Macaca mulatta: one gene and its partners. The protein of the gene in region 5 purifies or fractionates together with the protein of the main gene of each other region. This does not show direct contact. Links are inferred from orthologs where the notes say so. Each region holds a gene or a part of one and is shown on either strand. Other genes may lie near its edges.

Region 1 (3,500 bases), on a different chromosome or scaffold from region 5:
ATGCCAGCTGAAGTGATATGCTGGAATTCCAGGCAGCGGCTGAAAAGGCTCAGTCTCATGGGGGCATTCTGTGATCATGTGACCGTGGGACCTGAGGGGTGGGAGGTGGGTGCTGAAGCTTTAACTGAATTTCAGCTCAGCCAAACTTCAGAGAGGTAAAGAAACTGAACCTTTATGGATTGCCAGGGTTATGATGTCTCCGCCTTCTCCACACCCCTTCCTCTTCTTGATTTTTTATCCAGGGGCCAGGGGGTTGGTGGGGAATGGGATGTATTTACAGCTGCAATGAAAGCAGCCACCATGGGTCAGAGATGTCCCTCCAGGGACACTCCTCTAAGGTCCTGTCTATCCCAATTCACTATGTGGCTCCCGATTTTCTTGAAAAGCTGTGACACTGAAGAGACAGAACAGTATTGGAGGGCAGGAAAACTGGGTTCAAACCAAGAAAGGACACTGGCATCTTACCACTTTGCCAGGCAGCACAGGGATGTGGGTGCTTGGCAGGGCCGCTCTCCAGAACACGGTGAGGAGGGAAGCCGACTCCTCTAGGGCATGGTGCAGGGCAGTGGTGCTGCTCCGAAGCTCATGTATGCCTTTGCTGCCCATCACCTGGGGAAAGGTAACACCACAGAAGCGGAGAGATTACTTTCTTCCCCCTGCATGGGCTCCCGCTTCCTTTGTGAGTGAGGCACAGAACATGGGCCTGCTTGAACTGTGAAGCCCTCGCACAACCATTTGCAGCTCTCAGAACTAAGGTGCTGGTCCCTTTACCAGGTATGCCTCCCTCCACCTGCAGAACCCACAAGGCTTTCAAAACTCACCCCCCTTGCTGTGTCCTCTATGAACCTGTTACCTTCCTTGCCTGAGATAAATGACCACGTTTGCATTGGCGGCCTCACAGCACAGAGGATGGCTTCTCATGCTGTGTCTGTAGCCCCTTACTGTGCTGATCTACTTGTGTGTGTGTCTTGCCCTCTAGTGTGGGGTTCCGTGGAGGCAGGGCTGTCCCTACGCATCCATGGGTCTCCAGCAGCTCAGACAGCACAGCCCTGGTGCCTGGTCTCTCTCACTGGCAAGGCGCTCTGAGAAGCTTTGCTGACTGCCTTCCCTCCCTCTATGCAGTCTGCACAAGGAAATGCCATGGCTGCCAGGCTTCTCACCCCTTCCACATGTGGGGGCCATACACCTGCAAATCCTTCAGTTTCTGTCCACCCCATTGTGTCAACTCTGCCCACAGATGGTCATGTGCCTGCATAAAGCAATGGTAACAAAAGCCAAAATTGACAAATGGGATCTAATTAAACTCAAGAGCTTCTGCACAGCAAAGGAAACCACCATCAGAGTGAACAGGCAAACTACAGAATGGGAGAAAATCTTTGCAATCTACTCATCTGACAAAGGGCTAATATCCAGAACCTACAAAGAACTCAAATTTACAAGAAAAAAACAAACAACCCCATCAAAAAGTGGGCAAAGGATATGAACAGACACTTCTCAAAAGAAGACATTTATGCAGCCAACAGACACGTGAAAAAATGCCCATCATCACTGGCCATCAGAGAAATGCAAATCAAAACCACAATGAGATACCATCTCACAGCAGTTAGAATGGCGATCATTAAAAAGTCAGGAAACAACAGGTGCTGGAGAGGATGTGGAGAAATAGGAACACTTTTACACTGTTGGTGGGACTGTAAAATAGTTCAACCATTATGGAAAACAGTGTGGCGATTCCTCAAGGATCTAGAACTAGAAATACCATTTGACCCAGCCATCCCATTACTGGGGATATACCCAAAGGATTATAAATCATGCTGCTATAAACACACATGCACATGTATGTTTATTGTGGCACTATTCACAATAGCAAAGACTTGGAATCAACCCAAATGTCCATCAGTGACAGACTGGATTAAGAAAATGTGGCACATGGCCGGGCGCGGTGGCTCAAGCCTGTAATCCCAGCACTTTGGGAGGCCGAGACGGGCGGATCACTAGGTCAGGAGATTGAGACCATCCTGGCTAACACGGCGAAACCCCGTCTCTACTAAAAACACAAAAAATTAGCCGGGCGAGGTGGCGGCGCCTGTGGTCCCAGCTACTCGGGAGGCTGAGGCAGGAGAATGGCGGGAACCCGGGAGGCGGAGCTTGCAGTGAGCTGAGATCTGGCCACTGCACTCCAGCCTGGGTGACAGAGCGAGACTCCGTCTCAAAAAAAAAAAAAAAAAAAAAAAAAGAAAATGTGGCACATATACACCATGGAACACTATGCAGCCATAAAAAAGGATGAGTTCGTGTCCTTTGAAGAGACATGGATGCAGCTGGAAACCATCATTCTCAGCAAACTATCTCAAGAACAGAAAACCAAACACTGCATGTTCTCACTCATAGGTGGGAACTTGACAATGAGATCACTTGGACACAGGAAGGGGAACATCACACACCAGGTCCTATTGTGGGGAGGGGGCAGAGGAGAGGGATAGCATTAGGAGATATACCTAATGTAAATGACGAGTTAATGGGTGCAGCACACCAACATGGCACATGTATACATATGTAACAAACCTGCACATTGTGCATATGTACCCTAGAACCTAAGGTATAATAATAAAAACAAGAAAAGAGGAAAAAAAAAAAAGCTCCCAAAGGCTGCTAGGCAATGCCACATGTTTCTGTGGGGCTGAGGGGAAATATCCAGTCAGCTACATCTGGAACAGAGCAGAACTGACAGTGAAAATAGGAGACAGAGAAGACAGGGCCTGGCTGCTGTACATGGAAGAGGAAGCCTCAGCTGTTGAGAGATGCAAAGCACGAAAAACAAAAACAAAAACAAAAATGGTGGGAGAAGGAGTTACCATCAAAGGAAGAAAGGGCACAAGGAAACAGTGCATCTAAAGCTACAGGTGTGATTACCTCTGTGCCTTGGGCTTCAAGGCCAGGGAAGCTGCACGCTGACCTCACAAGAGACACTATCTTTTTGGCCAGCAGCTTGCCCTCCACAATCTGCTGTCTCAGGGCACTGTAGTCATCAATGTGGCCAATGACATGGCGGCCATGCTTATTGGCAAAGGAGCCATCAGTAGCATCACCCTCCAGCTTGGGAGGGGTCTTCATTACTGGAGAAGTATCCAAACCCAAGCCTGGAAAAGAAAATAACAACACAACAGAATCCTCTGTTATTCATAATGATATCCTAGGTTTGCTCCAACTCAGAAGAGGTAGGAGACAAGAAAAGGAAGAGGCTGGGAACAAGAAAGGAAGCCTTGGAATGTACAAGGGTGGGGCAAAGACCATAGAGATCTTCTGGCTTCTATATTTTTGTAATTTTTCTTACATCATCTCTTAATGATAAATTTGCCAGGGGACAATTTTTTCTTATTGGCCAATGAAATAGGACAAATCATAATAAATAATAAGTTTCTGGGTAGAGAAGACACAGACAAGGAAATCAAGCTGGATACAGAGAACATTTTCAAGAATGGAGAGATTATGGTGCAATG
Region 2 (3,500 bases), about 19 Mb from region 5:
TATTTTGTAACAATAAATTGCATAGTTGTTTGCATTGATAATTAATAACTAATAATTGTAGTACTAGAAACAGTTAATTTGAAGCCAGGTGTGGTGACTAATGCCTGTAATCCCAGCACTTTGGGAGGCCGAGGCGGGTGGATCACCTGAGGTCAGGAATTTGAGACCAGCCTGGCCAACATAGTGAAACCCCGTCTCTACTAAAAATACAAAAAATTAACCGGGTATGCTGTCGTACATCTGTAATCCCAGCTACTTGGGAGGGTGAGGAAGGAGGACCACTTGAACCCAGGAGGCGGAGGTTGCAGTGAGTCAAGATTGCGCCATTGCACGCCATCCTGGGTGACAAGAGGGAAACTCTGTCTCAAAAAAAAAAAACAGGACCAGGCGCGGTGGCTCACGCCTGTAAATCCAGCACTTTGAGAGGCCCAGGCAGGCAGATCATGAGGTCAAGAGATTGAGACCATCCTGGCCAGCATGATGAAACTCCATCTCTACTGAAAATACAAAAATTAGTTGGGCATGGTGGTGTGCGCCTGTAGTCCCAGCTACTTGGGAGGCTGAGGGAGGAAAATTGGTTTAACCCGGGAGGTGGAGGTTGCAGTGAGCCAAGATGACACTACTGCACTCCATCCTGGCGACGGAGCAAGACTCAGTCTCAAAACAAAACAAAAAAAAGAGAAAGAGTTAATTTGAAATGAACCCCAGTCAAGAATCTTTAATAGTTTATATTTTCCTCTTAGCTAGCATATTATATGCCTCAGCTTATCAGTGGAAGCTGTTTTTCTCTCTCTCATTATATGCTTCATCAACATAGCTTTATGGAAGTTCATTTGTCTTTCTGACTTAGGTTGGAAGTTAAAGATAAGACAGATGAAGTACATTTGCTTAATGACACATTAGCAAGTGAACAGAAAAAATCAAGAGAGCTCCAATGGGCTTTGGAGAAAGAGAAAGCGAAGTTGGGACACAGTGAAGAACGGGATAAAGAAGAACTTGAGGTACTGTTATCTTTGTCTTTAAATGTCTCTGGAAAATCCAGAATGATAGAAGAGAGTCTTGAGACTTTCCTCCATCTAAAATGTCAACCTTAGACTTCTTAATAAGATGCGGTAAGTTGTTCACTTAGGCATTCAATACTATATAATGTTATCTAAACAATATTATGAGGAAATGCTAATGGAATGGTGATTGGTTTGTTTGTTAGTTTGTTTTGCTACATCCAAAGATGCATATAGACTGCTCTTCTGCAACATGTTTTGGTCATGTGAATTGGTACACAGAGATAAACATGGCAATCCTGTCAGTTTAATACAGAAGTAGTTTTGGTTCCTGTTTTCTCCTAGGGAAGAGGAACAGGGATACTTTTCTGGATCCCTCACTGCTTAAGAACATTTAAAGTGAACATTGGCCCCTTTCAGAGAGACACACCCCTGCTTTGCAAGGCTCTCAGCTCAAGGCAGGTTGTACTACTACATGCAGTATCTACTTTTAATAGAGATGGAGTTGTCTCATTGGCTCAGAGCTCTTCTAGCCACTTAAATGTATGCTGCTTCATTACTTAGTGAGGTTAAGATTTTTTGAGAAAAGTATTTTACCCTTCTTTTGTTTATATTTCATGATTTTGCACTAACTACTGAACATTTAAGTTAATAAACTAAATCAGTTCTATTTTCTAATACAGATACTATCAGCATAGTATTAACAAAGGCATGGTTGTATACTTATAAAGGTTTTTTTTGTTTTGTTTTGTTTTTTTGAGTCAAAGTCTCGCTCTGTTGCCCACCCTGGAGGGCAGTGTGGCATAATCTAGGCTCACTGCAACTTCCACCTCCCAGGTTCAAGCGATTCTCCTGCCTCAGCCTCCCAAGTAGCTGGGACTACAGGCATGTGCCACTGCACCCAGTTAATTTTTTGTATTTTTAGTAGAGACGTAGAGACAGGGTTTCACCATGTTGGCCAGGCTGGTCTTGAACTCTTGACCTCAGGTGATCTGCCCTCCTCGGCCTCCCAAAGTGCTGGGATTACAGGCGTGAGCCACCATGCCTGGCCAAGTATTTGTAATAATACTAACAAATTCTTAAATTTGACTTTCTCATACCAGGATCTGAAGTTTTCACTTGAGAGTCAGAAACAAAGGAATCTTCAGCTAAATCTACTTTTGGAACAACAGAAACAACTACTGGACGAATCCCAGCAAAAAATAGAATCACAGAGAATGCTATATGATGCCCAGTTGTCAGAAGAACACGGTCGAAACTTAGAGCTTCAAGTACTTCTTGAATCTGAGAAAGTTCGAATTCGGGAAATGAGTAGTACCCTAGATAGGGAGCGGGAATTGCACGCACAGCTGCAGAGCAATGATGGTACTGGGCAGTCTCGGCCATCCTTGCCCTCAGAGGACCTACTGAAAGAGCTGCAGAAACAGCTAGAGGAAAAACACAGTCGCATAGTAGAACTGTTAAATGAGACTGAAAAATATAAACTGGATTCTTTGCAAACACGACAGCAAATGGAAAAAGATAGGCAGGTTCATAGGAAAACACTGCAGACAGAACAAGAGGCCAACACTGAGGGACAGAAAAAAATGCATGAGCTCCAGTCCAAAGTGGAAGATCTTCAGCGCCAGCTGGAAGAGAAAAGACAACAAGTTTATAAGTTAGACCTTGAAGGACAGAGACTACAAGGAATCATGCAGGAATTCCAGAAGCAAGAACTAGAACGAGAAGAAAAACGAGAAAGTAGAAGAATTCTGTATCAGAACCTTAATGAGGTAAACTGACAGTTTCTTTTTAGATATTTTTAAGGTAAGTACTGCAGCCCTTTGATCATTAAATTTTGATATTGGATTAAATTACTTAAATAACTGTTTGTAAATCACCTAAAAATGAAATATATAGACGTTTGTTGGATATAAACAATAATTGTGTTCCCTTAAGATAGACTGTGATATGCTCTTCACTTATAATTATTGTTTTCTTATTCTGTCCAAAATTGCCAGCCAGCCACGTGGAGCTTAACCAGTGATCGAACTAGAAATTGGGTTCTTCAACAGAAAATAGAAGGAGAAACAAAGGAATCAAACTACGCTAAATTGATTGAAATGAATGGAGGAGGAACCGGCTGTAATCATGAATTAGAAATGAGCAGACAAAAGCTTCAATGTGTAGCTTCAAAACTACAGGTTCTAGCCCAGAAAGCCTCTAAGAGGTTAGACTTTTCTGCCTGATCTTTGGGAAAGCAGCATTCTTAGGCTGGGTAGACCCCATGCCTCTTTGACAGCTAGCCAAGGGTGGGGAATTGAAATTTTAAAGGTAATGCATGTTTGCATTAGGAGGTGATATTCTTTAACAGAACTCAAATGTCTGAAAATAACTATCTAACACTTTGACCCAGGGAAGAGAGCACAGTATATAAGGGAGAAGTGATAGGTGAAGTAGAACGTCACCTGCTCTGTAATGTTTGTGGTAGTAAACACCCCCAATTGAGAAGGTATGTTT
Region 3 (3,500 bases), on a different chromosome or scaffold from region 5:
CCAATGGTCCTTTTGCCATTTCCCTCTTTGAGTCTGTCTGGTTCCACATTTCAGTTGTTCCTGTCGGCACGCGTGAATGCCCCACTCTTTCAGTTACCGTCATCACCAAGGGTGGTGCAGTGAGGTAGCAAGATCTTCGTCTTTGCTGCCAAGTAGTCCTGGGTCTAAGTCTGGCTCCCCTCCCGAGCTGTGCATGCCTGGGTAGGAAACAGCCCTTTTGAGTTTCGTTTCCTCATATCTCTGAACTGAGGGTTAGAGAGCACCAACCGTTTAGGGCATCTGTGAAGATTACATGAGATCACGTATGTACGGGGCTGGACACGGGGAGCACTTGGAAATTGCAGCTGTGACTGGAATTCTTAACCAGGCTTGTCACTGCTTGGTCCACACTCTTGTGACTGAGAGTGGAATTGGCCTGCTCTGTGGGGTTCGAATAAGTTACCCTATGGTAGAACTAACCTGTGCTTCTCATGCCTGTGGGGCCTTCTTAGGGTGCAGGAGGAGGTGAAGTTGAGGCAGCAGCTGCTCTCACAGAATGACAAGCTATTGCAGTCCCTCCGAGTGGAGCTGAAGGCGTATGAGAAGCTGGATGAAGAGCACAGGAGACTGAGAGGTACCGGGGGGGCTCTGGTCCGAGGCCCTTCTCACCTTGAGGCTACTGTGCTTTGGGCTGTAAGCCCACCCGACCGCCGGCTGTAGGCGCAGGAGGGTAGAGCTCAGCCCTCTCCTCTCTGGCCTCGTGGGTAGAATGGATGGGTGTTGAAGCTAGCGCTTTGACCCACTCTTCTTTTGAAGGAACAGCAGGAAACATAGAAGGACTGAGGCTCAGCACCCAGGCCAGCCACGGTCCGGGTTCCCACTCCCTTGTTCCCAGCTATTTGACCCTCAGCAGGCCACTTCACCCTTTGAGCCCAGCCCATACATGCCTCTGTAAAACATGTCTCTCAGCACCTGTTGTGTGGAGAATTGTGTTGAAAATTGAATGAGACCATTTATTAAAAGCATCCTAGCATGATACCTGACACATAGTAAGCACTCGGGAAATGACTTTTATTATCGTCCTGCTAGTGTGTGTTACTTTTTGCCCATTAATTCAGCAAACATTTATGGACACCTCTCATGTGCTGGGCATTGCTCTGGGGATAGTTGTTGGCCTCAGTGCTCTCTGTATCCCAAGAGAGATACCAGCTCAGAGTGCTTCAACTATAAGGTCTAATGTTTCAGAATCAATTTTGAGGTGTGGTGAGGTGTTTTTTTGTTTTTTTGTTTTTTTAACTAATTTTCCAGATGGTTTCTCTCTATTGAAAGTTGATCTAGAAAGGGGTCATCTCACAGCTTTTATTTTCTTCTCAACTTGCTTTTCTTATTCTTGCTGTTGTGTCTTTTTAATATACTGTGGCTCTTAAAATCATCCCCTTTCATTCTATAATTCTAGCCCAAATAGATTTTATTACTACTAGACATAATTTCGGGGTTTGGTATGCAATTTGCTAGGCTTTTATGGCCAGAAGCGAAAATTAATTTCCAGCTCTTATTTAGCCTGTGGAATAGCAGCAATTAAGTCTGCCAATATTTTTGTTTCTAAAGTCAAGTTGTTATTTTAAACTGTACCTAGTTCTTAGGAAGAGGGAGGGCGATGGTGGTGGCGGGTGTAAAACGCGATTGAGTTCCTTCAATGGCTGACCCTTTGGTTGTAGAAGATGTCAGGGCTTCTCTTTGCACATGTCTGCAGAGGCGTCGGGAGAAGGCTGGAAGGGGCAGGATCCTTTCAGGGACCTGCACAGCCTCCTGATGGAGATCCAGGCTCTGCGGTTGCAACTGGAAAGGAGCATTGAAACCAGCAGCACTCTGCAGAGTAGCCTCGAGGAACAGCTGGCAAGGGGGGCAGAGAAGGCACAGGAAGGAGCCCTCACTCTGGCCATCCAAGCCCTGTCCATCCCTGAGGTGCCCCTTCAGCCTGACAAACACGGTACTGCCCCTGCCTCTCCCCACTTGGCTGAGAATGCAGCTCTGAGCATCTGTGTGTGACGTGTGAACTTCTGAATGATGCCTTTGCCCCACACAGGTGTCTTTCCGTTGATAGCTGACACGCTGTACCCTGGGAGCCAGGGGACCTGACTGCTAATTAATTAGACGTCACCTTTGGCAAAGTGGCGTAATCTCCATCTGAGGCATCTTGATTCTCAGGGAAGTGGAATTTGGACTTCCAGACACCCTCAATGCCTCTGGCCTTGCTCCCTCCTATCCATTTATTCCTGCCTGCATCACTTCCATGCTGAAATTTCTTTTAGTTTCTCTTACTGCCTTTAGAAGGGAACCCAAACATCTTAATCTGGCTTTCAGTGTCTTTCAGGATCTGAAAATCATCCTGATAGGTTTAAAAAGTGGATCTGTTTTGCATTTGCTTGCAGGTTAATTGCCTAGCCCTGGAGAGAGGCTGTGGGGGGGTACCAGAAAGAGGAGCAGACACCTCTGCCACCTGCCCACCACGGGGTGTGGAGCAAACCAGTAAATGGTTAGACTCCAATCAGTCAGGCAGCCTGTCCTCTTTGCTCTAGAGATGAAAAACAAAGGCCCAGAGAGTGGATGGGGCTTGCCCAAAGTGGCATAGCAATTAGGCAGCAGAGCTGGAACTAGAAACCATTTCCAGCTTTGACTCTAGGGCTGTTCCTAAACCCACTGGACCCTCTGGAGCCTTGGGTATCCTGGGATTATCTTCCTGACACCCATGGGGTAAATATGTGTATCCAGTGGGATGAGGAATGCCAGCATGCTTTAAAAGCAGTATTGTACTAAAGTTTGCACTTACTTTTACTTGGATACCTCTAGTTAAAAAAATAAAAATAAATCTCTTAAGGAGTACCTAGTCAGTCTGCCTTAGAACTTGTAGTGATTAGTTCATTGATTTCTCATTGACAAGGATCTTAAAATTTAACCAAAAAGATGATGTAATAATATGAAAAAAGTGAACAGAGAAAAAAAGTTGATGATTCTACACATTGATCATTTTTTAAAATTTGCATATTTCTTTTCATTTATTAAATATCGGCATGAATTTATATTTTTCAAATTGGTTTTTGTGTCATTCTGTGTCCTTTCTTTGTTTTTGTCCAATATTGCATCATACATGTTCCCTCTGCTTTCACATGGGCTTCCTAATGATTGTTTGCAGGCTATTCTTAGTCACCAGTCCATGACCCCGTTGATTATTAAAGTGGTCTCTGATTTAGAGCCATAATAGACATCAATGTTAATATACTTTTTGCTGTTAAACAATATTCTTAGGAGAAAACCCGACCAGGGGAATCTCAGAAGTTTAGAAAGGTGCCATATTTCTACCTTCTAAATGGTCTGTCCATCAGAAGTGTACAAAGGTAGTGGTTTTTGCGTGACCTCATCAGCATCGGGCATTAATATTTTTAACATGGGTCTGCACCTGGCCCTTTTTAAGGCTTTGAGGAGCTTGTGGGGGTGGGCTAGGGGAGATTGAAGCAAGGAGA
Region 4 (4,226 bases), on a different chromosome or scaffold from region 5:
CAGTCTGTTTTTAAACTGATAAAGCATTTTTCTTTCTCTTACCCATATTACCAGCTTATTGACCCTTAACTCACACCCAGGCTTAACCTAGATCTTCTCTTGACCAGTTCTCACTCTTCAATCCTTCCAGGTAGTTGATTAATAAAATGCAGACAAGACAGGAAAAAAAAAAAAAAATCAGTTACCCTATCCAAAGTTACTTCAATTACTTTTGAAAAACCAAACACCACACACCCTACAAGTTTGAAACCCTTGCCAAAAGGTGATGAAGACCAGCCAAAAAATTTATTTTTCTATTTCTGAAAATTAGTTTGCTAAGATGGAGTGAGAAGAAATTTTTTTCTAATCAACACTGGTCTCCTCTGCCCATTCACAAAGATATATTTTCTACGTTACATTTTTGTCAAGTATAGAGAGAATTCCTCTACCTATTTATAACTGACAATTTCTCTTAAAACGGTCTTTAATATGTTGTCCAAATTGGTTTGAGTTCCTTTTCCAGACAGTAAGTTCCTAAAATTAAAAAATAAAAAAAATTAAAAGTACTATATTTTTTCCGGCCTCTAAAGGCAAAAGAGGACTTCTTCAGCTTCTAGACTTATCCCTGGAGTTCAGGGGGCTAGAGAAGGCTAGAGACTTTCTCACTATGGTTCCATGTCTTAGGCAACTTCCCATATCCTCAACTGCAAAATATCACTGGCCTAGGAGTCCACTGCTAGACCCATATCAATCTCGTCGATAGTGCAGTTATGTGGGTACATACACTAGTCCCTAGTTCAGCTTGGGAACCCACTTCTTCCCTGATTCCCTTACGTTCTTTGACCTTTCATAAATTACTATTACAGCTACAATTAATAGTGACATTCACTGTTCACCCCGGGTCAGTTTTGTCAGGAGGAACAACAACAACAAAAAAAATGAATAATCAGGGTACCATTTGAAAAAGTAAACGTTTAAAAAAAATCATTCAGTTGCACTATTTTAACTGACACCAATCATGTCAGGCACTGGGCTGCCATCCTAAAATCATGACGTTAAAAAAAATTATCTTTGCATTACTGATACCCCATTTTTTCTTAGCACTCCATATTTTGAGTATTTTCAGACATAACGAAATCACAATCAACATGACATTTCTAAAACAGTGGGAAGCAGCTAAGCAAAACGAGCATTTTGCAAGCGATTGAAAAGCTGAAAAGAGAGCAGGAATTAACTCCAGTTTGTACTAAAGCTATTAGATGTGTGTCTCAGCAGTCTCTCTCACCATGAAACTCCTTAACATCTAAAGCTAAACCACAACCAACTTTATATGGTTTTAGAAGACAGAGAAAGCAGAGAAAAAAATGAAAGCTGGTAATACGGGGAAGAGAAAAAATGTTAGCTTTTACTGTCATTGTCATTTACTTTTTTTTTAATACTTCGGTTACATCTACATATTTTTTATAAAGCAGCTTAGATGCCTGGATTAATAGCAGTATACTAAATCCATTCGGAGTACTTTATGGCCAGCCTTAAGCCATTAACAGCCTAGGAGGGTATTTGACAGCAAATGCAAATATCAATACTACGAAGAGCCCCTTGACGCCTTCCGTTTCTGTCATAAGATCTGAGCAGCGCCTGCTTCCAGGGCTCCGGGGTTCTGACAGTGAAGGATGCTGTTCGCGGACAAAGTGCAACGTCCTCCTTCTGCTGCAAATGTTCCTGTGCGCACACCACGTACCCGGGGGACCGTCTCTAAAGACCACCCCGTGGATTTAAACAGCCTGTCATTAAAAGCGGCGGCAGCTCCACCGCCACACTCGGGACCCCAGGAAGACCCGTCTCGAGACCGAGCACCTCCCTCTACTCTGGGCCCGGTGCCTTGGGTTTCCTCCCTCGGCCGCGCTCCTCCCGCCCTCCTCCCTCCGCCATGCGAAGGCGCAGCTCTCGGGCGGCCCCGAAGACAGAAGAGGGACCACGGGCCGGCGGAGGGGCTGGGGCGCCGGAGCCGGGCCGCTCCATCCATGCCGGCCGCATACCTGCCGCCACCCCATCTAACCGCAGCCTCCGCGGCAAACGCGTCGGAGCCCGGCTCACCTGGGGGCCGCAGCCTCCGCAGCTCATGGACATGTCACCGGCCGCAACGACCCGTGAGCGAGCCGGGCGAGCAGGCTGGCCCCCTCCCGCGTCGGCCCCCAGCCCTCCCCCCTCCCAGCCCCGCGGCCCGCCCCCGCCCTGCCCACCCCTCGGCTTCCGCCGCCGCCGCCGCCGCCGCAGCTCCGGCCCGCAACACCGCCTACTCTCCACGCCTCCCACTCACTCTCGCGAGAGGGCAGCGCGCCTCTCGCGAGAAGAACTCCGCAGCCGAGCCCGCGCAAAAGTGAGTGGGCGTTTAAAAAGGGAAAGAAGGAACAGGAAAAAAAGCCTTCCCACGTGCTCCGGAGCAGCTAGCGGAGCAGCCCCGCTGATCACATGATTTAAAGGGGGCCTCTCCATTGGCCGGGACCCGCTCAGCCTTGGGAGCTTTAAATTCGAGGGCGACCTACGAACCTGCGGCGGACGTCTTGCGTGCTTCCTGGTCCGTTGCCTTGGAAACGGCTTAACCCTTTCCTCTGGCAAGTCCCCAGGCCTTGGCTTGCTCCGCAGATTTGGTTTCAGGCTCTGCCTCTTTTCCGTCGACCCCTTAGTCTTACAGCCTGGGGCCAGCTGGGCTCCTTCTTCGCCACAAGGCTAGTTTTGCTTTCTTCCGAAGCCCCGGGCCCTTCCCTAAGTGGCAGCCCCACCAGATCCGAAGGCCCAAGGAAGGCTCATCCTTTCTGATGACTCCACCCCTTTTCCCAGCATCTCCAGGGAGGACCACTCACAGCGCACAGGGCAACCGGCCCTATCCCAGCCAAGAAGTAGCACCCAGGGTTCTCAGGGCCCTAGTGCTCACCCTGATGTCTTTACATGGTATGGAAATCGGAAACTAAAGCTTTGGTCACTGGGAATCCTAACCAGAGATGAAAAGCTGTTGTGCTGATTATTTTCACCTAAAATCCGAAGGGCCAGTATTGCCCTGTCTCCTTAAGGGCATCTGTTCCTCAAGAGTGGAAACACCTGGCAATAAAAAAGACATTTTTGAGTGTATCCTCATTATGAGTTAAGTTTTGCCCTGTTGAGAGGAGAGGGTCAGGGAAGAAAGGGTGCAATTCATTTGTTCATTTCTTCATTCAACAAACACTACTCCAGGCTTTGTCCATTGAACATCATTGTCCATTGAACAATGATGAAGATAAGTAGTGTAGATTCTAGGGAACTTATCTGAGGATGAAAAGAAAACAAAATATCTGTTGGTTTTAAAATGTATGTAAAGAAGTTACAATAAGTGACGTGATGGTGATTGAGTGGCTAGTAAAGGGGCTGCCCTTTTGAGGAGGAGACATTTTAGCAGCGATTTGAATAACAGTCATGCAAAAATCAGAGCGTACAGCATTCCAGGAAAAGGATAACACTAATTCAAAGGCCCTAAGTAAGGACCTGTTCTAGTGCATTTGAGGGAAGAATAAATGAGAAAGTAAACTTTATTGAGCCTGGAGATGGAAACTGTAAGAGTTAAAGAAACAGAAAAGGCAGCTTAACAGAGACAGGTTTATTTTGGAGAATAAACCTGAGAGGGTCTTCTGGCCAATTTCAGTCAGTAGTGTTCTCTCTTACAGACTAAAGGTATTTAGCGGTTGAGGGAGGGAGAGCATATTGCAGGCTTGGAATGTTTCTGGGTGGAGGAGGGTTTTATTGCTGGGGGTTTAATGTCTCTGGTTGGAGGGGAGGCATATTTCTGATCAGAGGGGGGTTTATCTCAGGGTTGGAATATTTCTCATCAGAGGTGTCATTTGTGGTTTATGGTCATGATGACATTAGGCTGATGTTTCTGGGGCTGGATTTAGGCAGTTTTTAATCAAGGGGAACTTAAAATGGTGGTGCTTGTCCAAGATGGAGATGTTCTTGCTGAGTCAGAAACTAGCATGGATCAGATCCTGTAAGGCTTTGTTAGCCAAGAAAGGAATTGAAAGTTTATTCTAAATGCAATAGAAGGTATTAGAAAGTTTTTAATAGGGGAGAGACACCCAGAGTTTACTTTAAAAAAAAAAAGTCTCTTCCTTGAAAATAATGGGTCTTAAAGAGGCCAAAGCAGAAGCAAAGATTAGGAGATTTATAGGCCAGGTGGGAGACAGTCATGAAATTTAATTTCCAATGATCTTAACATT
Region 5 (4,130 bases):
TGATATGCGGCTAATTTTCGACAATCCCAACCCTCACAACGCGTATGTGTTTTAAAAAAAAAAAAAAAAGTAATCAAGACCACATGTTGCCCAAAGCCTAAAACGTTTACTATCTGGCCCTTTACAAGAAAAGCTTGCCAACCACTTTGTAGCCTATAATTAAATGTTTTTCAACTGCAGGTCTCAACACAATTTAAAATAGGGAGAAATAATCAATTCAAATAGTAAATATCAAAAAGCACTGCATCTGACAGAAGGTAGTACCTGTACTATTGCCAAAGTTTCAATCAGACACATGTATGTGCCTCCTGGATAATGATCAAATTGTATTTGGTTGCAGTCTAAAAGTTTTAAAGGCCTTGGAGGTGAGGCTGGGGAGTAAATAGTGCAATTGTTTACAAGTTTAACTTGTTTAACTCACATTGAGCAATTTTTACAGCAAAGGTGCCTTGGAGAATATAAAGTCATATAAAGCCCTGCTGTTTTGAAGTTAACGGCTTGTTTCTTCACTACAAAATGAAAATGGAATCTCTTCTGTGCACAATATATTGTTATAAGGAGAAAATGGAATCATCAATGCAAAGTACTTCAACAAATGCATTATACAAACAAAAGATTTTGATTATATTAACAACATATTATACAGAATACATATAAGGTCTTTACCAAGCCCCTGAGTTCCTAGTTTTCTCCAACCTGGGAAAAGAGTCCTTTTTTCCCCCTTTGTGTGTGTGCATGAACATGTGTGCATGCGTCAGGAGCATAAAAGAAGTATTAGATATCTCTGCCCTTTCTATCATCCGTTACTGGCTGCTGCTTCTTACCTATTTAAAACATGCATTCTTCTCTCTTTCTCTTGTTTCTAGAAGGAAAAGCGTTTGATTTGATTCTTGTGCAAAAAGAACTACTAAGACTATGATTATCCTCTTGAGGAAACATTTAAAAGTCCAAAATTAAAATTGTAAGTAACAAGCTTCACTTTTATCTTCATAAAGCACTAATTTCCAGGCTTTCTGGGATTGTTTTGGACAAACTAAAAATACATTAATTTTATAATCCATTTCAACATGTAATCGTGCAAAGAAAAGAAACATCTTCCTAGGAGCATACACAAGGAAATGAAATGACACTTCTAAATGTTTTCATTTTATGAAATACACTGCGGACACACAAACCACAAGCAGTGTAAATAAATAAAAGCTGGTGCAATGCTGCATGCATGTTTGCCTTATATCACAAAGAGAAAACACTTGCACATTGCACTCCATGGTATTTTAGCTTGGGTTGCCATAAAAATGGGATTTGGGTATGTTGTGTAATACAGGGGGCTGTAAATGAGGGTGTGTGTCTGGGTGTGTTAGGGAAAGAGGGTTGTAAGCAGAAGGGGTGGGACTTGCCAGGAGCAGCTATTTGAGAAAATTCCGTTTTCTTTCCCATTCATTCTTCTAGCTCAGTCTATTCTAGCTCAGTCTGGCACAGTCCTTACAATTACTCACTGGCTTTTCATTCTAAAGACAACCAACAAGCTTTCAGAACTTCCTACAGTGTTTTTCTCATACACTTAAAAAAAATAAAACAGCAAATCATTCAATATGTCTTTTATACAAAAAGCAAACCATTAACCCGTTTCCTCATTCCAAAGACCCCCGTGGGTTTCAGACTAAATAGAATCCTTTGTTACGTGTCCAAAAATAACACAACACGGCATTGGTAAATTGGAAAATAACAGATAACTCTTATTTCCAAGAATGTCAGAGCTATTGGCCATAAATTTTGTTCTGCCCCAGTGAGTCCAATTTCATGCTTCTTTTAGTGAATCTACCATCCTAACAACAGTAAAGACAATCATATTAAACATCGTTCGCCTTTTCTCTTTTGACATTCGTTTAATAAATACAAAGGCTGAAAGAAGACGCCAAGTGGGCCAGTTTCTTTATGCACAATGGTATCCTCCAAGCGAAATACCTCCAATCACAGCGAAAGTTGTCTTTCTAGCAGATGCCCACCCCAACCAGCCCAGGCAGAGGGGGCAGACGGGCAGAGGGAAGCGTAACCTCCCAGCTCTCCCACCTCCAGAGGAAGGGAAGAGGGTATGACAGAGAGCGGAGTAGGAAGGTGGGCGAGTGGGAGAGACAGAAATGGATGCTGAGGGGGTGGGCGAGATGGGAAGGTAGGGAAAGGTGGAGAATGCGGGGAGAGGTGGGCGCGCAAAGCGGCAAGATCCGAGAGCCGTGGCAGCAAGGGGATCCCGGGGCGCGAGGGCGGGGGGTCTGGTCCTCACCATTGAACGCCCCTGCGTCTGCGGGCGCCGCCTCCTCCTCCTCTCCGTCCTCGGAGTCGGAGTGCATGGGTTCCTCGGCGAAGTTGACCCCCTTGCTGGGGGTGCCACCCCCGACAGCGGCGGCAGAGGCGCCCGCGTCCCCCCAGGTCCTGCCCTCATGGCCGAAGCGCGCGGTGCCTTTGCGCTCGTTCTCCTGCTGCAGGCGCGTGAAGTGCTGCAGCGCGAACTCCAGCAGGTCCGCGGGCTGGTGCCTCAGCACCTCCACGGTGAAGCCCTGCAGCAGCTCCGTCAGTCCCGCCGGGATCTCGATGCTCATCCTGACTCTGGGGCGGCAGGCGCCTGGGCGCCGCCCTCGCCCCCTCCCCGGCACGGCCTAGGGCCCCGCGGCTGCCGAGCGAGCGCCGACGGCGCTGGCGGCGCTACCGGCTGCGAGCGCGGCGCACTGGGCCCCGGCGGCCCGGCTGGCCCGGCCCGCGGCTCCTGGCGCGCGTCTGCTCCGTGTGGCGGCGGCGGCTGAGCGAGCGCGGCCCCGGGAGGGCTGGCAGCATCTCCTGCTCCTCCCGCTCCCGCCGCGGCCGCGCCTCTCCCTCGCCCGGGCGCCCCGCCCCCGCCCCGCCGCGGTGCGCGGGAGGGGGCGCAGGAGAGCGCGCCCACGTGACCCTCGGAAACCATGGCAACCTCCGCCGGCTGGCGCCGCTCACCAGCCGCTCAGAGCACGGCAGGGTGGAATTCGTTGGCGGGCTGCGCGCCCGGGCTGGGTGAGGCGGAGGGAGGCCCAGCGAGGCCGTCTTGGTGTCCACCTGTCCGCGCGTCCAGGAGCGGGCTGGCCACTCGCCCAGCTTCCCACGCGTCATTCGCCATGGTGAACCCCCGCAGAGGTGGTGCCAAGCGATTTGTCCTGAAACTTCAGCCTCCACCTTAGTAGTGGCATTTTATTTTCCTTCTGGAATCTACTTGCATGATAAGTGTTGTTAATGTCCTTTGTTTAAAGTCTTATGGTGGTACTGTTTCTCTTTTGGACAAAGAAATGCTACCCCATCTTTGTGACGTCTTTCTTTTTCTTCCACCACGTTTTATCTAGCCTTTCCCCATCCATCCTGTTTATTATGTTTTATCTTACTGATGCTATTCCGTTGTGCACTCCACGCATTTACTATTTGTTGAGACAAAGGCGCCATTTATTGTGAGGCACCTATCAAAGTTAGTTGATCTCCTTCAAATAGGATAGTGCAAGATGAGGCGCTTATTATTTTGAAACTTTTCTTTATGCTTTGAGTGATTTTGACTTGTATCTCCAAAAATGGAAATACTTCAGTATAAAGAAAAATAGAATTACGAATGTGTGCTTTTAAAGTAGATGGCTTTGACTTTGATATGAGGCTTACTTTGCAAATGTTTACAATTTTGAAGTAGAGAAAATTGTCTTTTGTCAATTAAATGCTATTTAAATACGCATACTTCATTTTCTACAATTACCATATCATTGTAAATAAAATAGTTCAAGAGCAAGCTCACTTGGTTATTCTGATTTATCTTCCCACCCACGGAAGAGTAAACACATGACTGGGGAAACTCCAAGACTAGAAATCAGAGATGTAACAAACTAGTCCCTTTTGTAAAAATGGATCTTGATGTTAACCCTTTGTTAATGATGCATCCTGTATTCACTCTATGAGCCAATGTATTTCTCTGTTTTCATTTCTTAAGAACTTTATGGTAATAATGCTACGTTGTTTTTAAATATACAGTAGTTAAGTGCTTCTGATTGTGTCAAGCATTTTAAGAATTAAACTTTTGGCCAGGCGCGGTGGCTCACGCCTGTAATCCCAACACTTTGGGAGGCCGAGGC
Region 6 (4,079 bases), on a different chromosome or scaffold from region 5:
ATTATTCAGTGATGCTGAATGGAGTGCAGGCATCAGACTCTATTCCTTACTCGGTTATTACTAACAGTATGATCTCAACTCCAGCTTCTTCAGAGATCAGGATCTTTGAAAAGGAATGATTGTACAGGCTGATCTGTAACATCATATATTTCTAAAAGTTTTGAAAAACAAATTTTCAAGAATAATTCTTTAAAAAAATACACAGAACAGTTAGGTATGTAATGATAAGAGTTCTTTCATTAAGTTTAAAATACAATTTCTTTGTTTACTACAGAACGGCAACATATACCTGATAACATTGCTCCAAATGAAATTACAAACATTAATCAACACATGACATTTCAAATAATTTTCCCTATGACACATAACATGCTATTTTTTTTTTTTGGTCACTTCACAACAGCTTTTTAAACTATTATAATGACCTTGTTTCCATAAACAAAGTTACACAAAAAGCTGACTAATAAGTACTAGACTGTCATTAACACTTAAAACATAGGAAAGAATTTATTCATGGAAATAATTTAAATATGTTCAGATAAACATTTGAAGTTTCCATTCTGTTTTCAGTAAATATTCTGAGGTTATTTCACAGCTATGAGTTGCAAATTAATACTGTCTAAGGGAGAATTGTTTTGATAACTTAATAAAAAATATACAGGTCACAGGAGAGTCTACTATCATTATCCAAAATATAAACATTATACAGGTCAGCACTTGCTAATGAAAACTACTAATAGGATCATTCTCCAAACACTCTTTTGTAACACAATTAGCACGTTTTAAGTTAATACAGTTTTAAATTAACACGAAAAATGACAACATATAAGGTACAAATAATTCTTTATGCTTTTTGCATTTTTTATACTTCCTGTACAGTTAGTTACTATATTTCCGCAATTTTAAAAAGATAACAAAGGCCGGGCACGTTGGCTCACGCCTGTAATCCCAGCACTTTGGGAGGCCGAGGTGGGTGGATTACCTGAGGTCAGGAGTTCGAGACCAGCCTGGCCAACATGGTGAAACTCCATCTCTACTAAAAATACAAAAATTAGCCGGGTGTGGTGGTGGACGCCTGTAATCCCAGCTACTCGGGAGGCTGAGGCAGGAGAATCGCTTGAACCCAGGAAGCGGAGGTTGCAGTGAGCCAAGATTGCACTATTGCACTCCAGCCTGGGCAACAAGAACGAAACTCCATCTCAAAAATAAATAAATAAAATAACATACATTCTACCTCTACAATGGTTTCTTTAGATCTCTGTATGACATACTGTGTGTTCTTAAATAGTTTATATAATAGCTCATCAAACTTTTCTGGAGCTCCCAAAAATTGATACCAAAACCTTACTGATGAAACATAAACCATATAATCTGATCTATTTATGTTAAACCAAATGAATGACTAAATCCTTCTAAATGAATTCTACTTTACTAATACAGAAAAAAAAGCTATTTCCTTCATGCTAAATTATAAAATTAGCCTAATTCTTATGTTACAACCATGAAAACATTACAAGTAATATTTACACAAACTAAAATTATCAGGCCCACTTTAAGTGCTAACATGTCATTCACTACTGGTGATGTAACAAATATCATCTGTTATTCGGCCATTCTGAATTATAAAAATATATAAACTTTACAAAGGCAAACCCAAGTTTTATTTCACGACCATTCTGACTGACACATATATACACACATATATATGCATGTGTATACATGCATACACAAACACACAGACACACACACACACCTCACAGCCATACAGAAATTCCATTTTCATGATATTTTACTTTTTGATGTAAAGTGTGGAGTACCCGCACCTTCAGCTCTCAGAAGAAATTAACCGTGTTCTGGAAGCACTTCCACTCCGAATGACCTTTAAGTTTTACAGGCATTGCAGCAGATCCTAGAATGTCTAGAGAAAAGGCAAACCTGCCTGGCTTTTTTCTCTAATGGATAAAGTTGCTGTTTGGTCTCATTATGTTTTCCATTCCTAATCTGAAGAGATGAAGGATCTCTAAGGCAGAGTTGTTCACTCAGGATTAGCCTCACTTGCGTAGAGCCAGACTAGCAGCCCCCGCCTTGTGATAAGGTTGGGTTGGACCCAAGTGATGGAGGGAGAAGAGCCAACCTTACCCACAGCACCACTACCTGTAGCTCCCAAAGAGTCGGCGAGAGGGGAAAGCAGGGGTGGGATGGCACTGGGGACTTCTTTCCTCGGACCATATTTGGGGAAGTGTTCCAGAATGTGTGCAAGTCCTCCTCGCTAGAGTGAAAAAGGGAATCCCAGGGAACGCTCTTCCCAGGATCCCCACATCCGGCCCTTCGCACTCAGCCCTCAACACGGAGCTGGGGGGTCGGAATGGAGGAGGAAGGCAGCTGGTCCCCCGGCCCCCCAGAACGACTCCCGGCGGCCGCTACTAGGCCTGGCCCGTGCCCGCGGCCTCAGGAGCTGCGACCCGGAGGGGCCTCGGTGCCCCGCGCCGGCCCGCCCAGCGGATACCCAGACCCGGCCTTCAACTCACCGCTCTCCACCTCGCTGCCTTTCTTGGCGGTCGCCGCGTTGCCCATGTCTGGGGCGATGGCAAGAAGGGGTCAGGGAGGGGAAGGGGGGCTGGGGCCGTGCCCGCCACTCCACAGTCTGGGGCAACTCCCGCTTCTGCACCCGTCAAAGCGGTGAGTGCGCCTAGCGCTGGCGCCCGGAGTCCGGGCAGGGAGACCGGGCCGGGTCTGAGGAAAGGGTTCCAGCGAACTCCTCAGCACCGGTAGCTGCGGCTGCTGCGGCGGCGGCGGCGGCGGCGGCGGCGGCGGCGGCGGCAGCAGTAGCGGCGGCGGGCAGACACTCCCCCTTCGCGCGGCCCGCCCTCCCCGCGCGCCCCCGGGCAGCCGCGCTCCCGGGCTAGGCCCTGGCCCGACTGTGTCTTCGCGCGCGGGTGCGCGCGCCGGAAGTGACGTGGCCCGGGACCCCGGGGGCGGGCGGTGGACCCTTAGCTGGCCGAGCCCAGGGTTGGGGCCTGAGGTTCCGCTGACCGCCTCCTCCGCCGCGGTATCCCGGTCTAGCGCTCGGATGCCCATCGCTGAGATAGTGGGAGGTGGAGTGGGAACCGCTAGCTTTGCGGACGGCAGAGTCCCTCCTCAGCCTGGCGTTCCCAGTGCCCTGGAGTGGAGTCGCGGGATACCGTTCAGCGGCTCGGGTGGTTTTCCTTGTGTCCCGCCACGCGGCGGCTCCTCACTCAAAGACTGCCTTTTCCTCACAGCGCCAGGTCCGAAAAAGAGCCGCACCTTCGGGTTGGAGATCGCGCGCAAGGGTGGTCTCTGGGTCTGCATCTGCCCGGCATCGGCAGTAGGAAAAGCCTGGTCCCTAGTCACGGTCGTAGTTCGAGCCTTTCATTCCCTCGCACATTGAGGTATTCGCTGAGCCCACCGCGTTGTCCTCGGGGATAGTAGGCTCCAGTCACAAGCCCTATGTTTTCAGACTTCCCAGGTGGAGATAAAGGAAAATTTTACTATTTCTGCACAACTTCTGTTGATGTACAGCATTGTATTTAGCAACTTCCGTGTAGATCTGAAAATAAATACATTCCCAATTGTTAGTTGCGTTTTTATTAATATAAATCTTAGAATACTTGATTTTGCTGTTAGCTTTACTTAGGTAAATTATATGGCACTCTAGCATTTTTGTGGTTCCATTGAACTTTGCTCTGTGTTTTCCACTTATTACAAAGTCAAAATAGACTGTAACTTCCCAAATTATTCTATGTTCCCAAGGCACCAGGCATAGTAGGTGTTTTACGAATACCTGTTGACTTGAAATTTCTCAGGCTTTTAAAAAAATTTTCATTACTGACAAAAAATGGAGCGATAAGATTATTAGTAAACTTCCTATTATCACCAATTCTGTTAATGTATACTGCATTACAACTTCTATACGAATAGTAACTCATTTGCTCCTCATAAGAACCCTATGAGAGATGTGGTTTTACTGTCATCATTTTAGTTACGAGCAAATTAAGGCACAAAGAAGTGACTTACCGAGATTACACAGCTATTATCTGGTGGAAGCAGGATTTGAACCC

What was found.
Region 1: the proteins of PRKAR2B (region 5) and myomegalin purify together in Homo sapiens (affinity purification with mass spectrometry; 4 studies listed by BioGRID and IntAct, counting the BioPlex papers as one, with this or other methods). This does not show direct contact. The link is inferred for Macaca mulatta from reciprocal best matches to the Homo sapiens genes PRKAR2B and PDE4DIP.
Region 2: the proteins of PRKAR2B (region 5) and AKAP9 purify together in Homo sapiens (affinity purification with mass spectrometry; 3 studies listed by BioGRID and IntAct, counting the BioPlex papers as one, with this or other methods). This does not show direct contact. The link is inferred for Macaca mulatta from reciprocal best matches to the Homo sapiens genes PRKAR2B and AKAP9.
Region 3: the proteins of PRKAR2B (region 5) and CDK5RAP2 purify together in Homo sapiens (affinity purification with mass spectrometry; 3 studies listed by BioGRID and IntAct, counting the BioPlex papers as one, with this or other methods). This does not show direct contact. The link is inferred for Macaca mulatta from reciprocal best matches to the Homo sapiens genes PRKAR2B and CDK5RAP2.
Region 4: the proteins of PRKAR2B (region 5) and AKAP11 purify together in Homo sapiens (affinity purification with mass spectrometry; 3 studies listed by BioGRID and IntAct, counting the BioPlex papers as one, with this or other methods). This does not show direct contact. The link is inferred for Macaca mulatta from reciprocal best matches to the Homo sapiens genes PRKAR2B and AKAP11.
Region 6: the proteins of PRKAR2B (region 5) and PRKACB purify together in Homo sapiens (affinity purification with mass spectrometry; 7 studies listed by BioGRID and IntAct, counting the BioPlex papers as one, with this or other methods). This does not show direct contact. The link is inferred for Macaca mulatta from reciprocal best matches to the Homo sapiens genes PRKAR2B and PRKACB.

What each region holds. Positions count from the first base shown.
Region 1 is NC_133406.1:119,875,563-119,879,062, forward strand, and holds part of myomegalin, read right to left. Parts: intron 3,141-3,500; coding exon 2,914-3,140; intron 610-2,913; coding exon 466-609; intron 1-465. UniProt on the Homo sapiens protein: Functions as an anchor sequestering components of the cAMP-dependent pathway to Golgi and/or centrosomes.
Region 2 is NC_133408.1:127,276,416-127,279,915, reverse strand, and holds part of AKAP9 (A-kinase anchor protein 9), read left to right. Parts: intron 1-850; coding exon 851-1,001; intron 1,002-2,104; coding exon 2,105-2,773; intron 2,774-3,001; coding exon 3,002-3,210; intron 3,211-3,500. UniProt on the Homo sapiens protein: Scaffolding protein that assembles several protein kinases and phosphatases on the centrosome and Golgi apparatus. Required to maintain the integrity of the Golgi apparatus. Required for microtubule nucleation at the cis-side of the Golgi apparatus.
Region 3 is NC_133420.1:37,795,285-37,798,784, forward strand, and holds part of CDK5RAP2 (CDK5 regulatory subunit-associated protein 2), read left to right. Parts: intron 1-491; coding exon 492-613; intron 614-1,732; coding exon 1,733-1,969; intron 1,970-3,500. UniProt on the Homo sapiens protein: Potential regulator of CDK5 activity via its interaction with CDK5R1. Negative regulator of centriole disengagement (licensing) which maintains centriole engagement and cohesion. Involved in regulation of mitotic spindle orientation.
Region 4 is NC_133422.1:21,627,491-21,631,716, reverse strand, and holds the start of AKAP11 (A-kinase anchor protein 11), read right to left. Parts: upstream 2,801-4,226; 5' UTR 2,530-2,800; intron 2,284-2,529; exon of another isoform or gene 2,077-2,283; intron 1-2,076. UniProt on the Homo sapiens protein: Binds to type II regulatory subunits of protein kinase A and anchors/targets them.
Region 5 is NC_133408.1:146,657,339-146,661,468, reverse strand, and holds the start of PRKAR2B (cAMP-dependent protein kinase type II-beta regulatory subunit), read right to left. Parts: upstream 2,801-4,130; 5' UTR 2,598-2,800; coding exon 2,282-2,597; intron 1-2,281. UniProt on the Homo sapiens protein: Regulatory subunit of the cAMP-dependent protein kinases involved in cAMP signaling in cells. Type II regulatory chains mediate membrane association by binding to anchoring proteins, including the MAP2 kinase.
Region 6 is NC_133406.1:156,488,184-156,492,262, forward strand, and holds the start of PRKACB (cAMP-dependent protein kinase catalytic subunit beta), read right to left. Parts: upstream 2,801-4,079; 5' UTR 2,575-2,800; coding exon 2,529-2,574; intron 1-2,528. UniProt on the Homo sapiens protein: Mediates cAMP-dependent signaling triggered by receptor binding to GPCRs.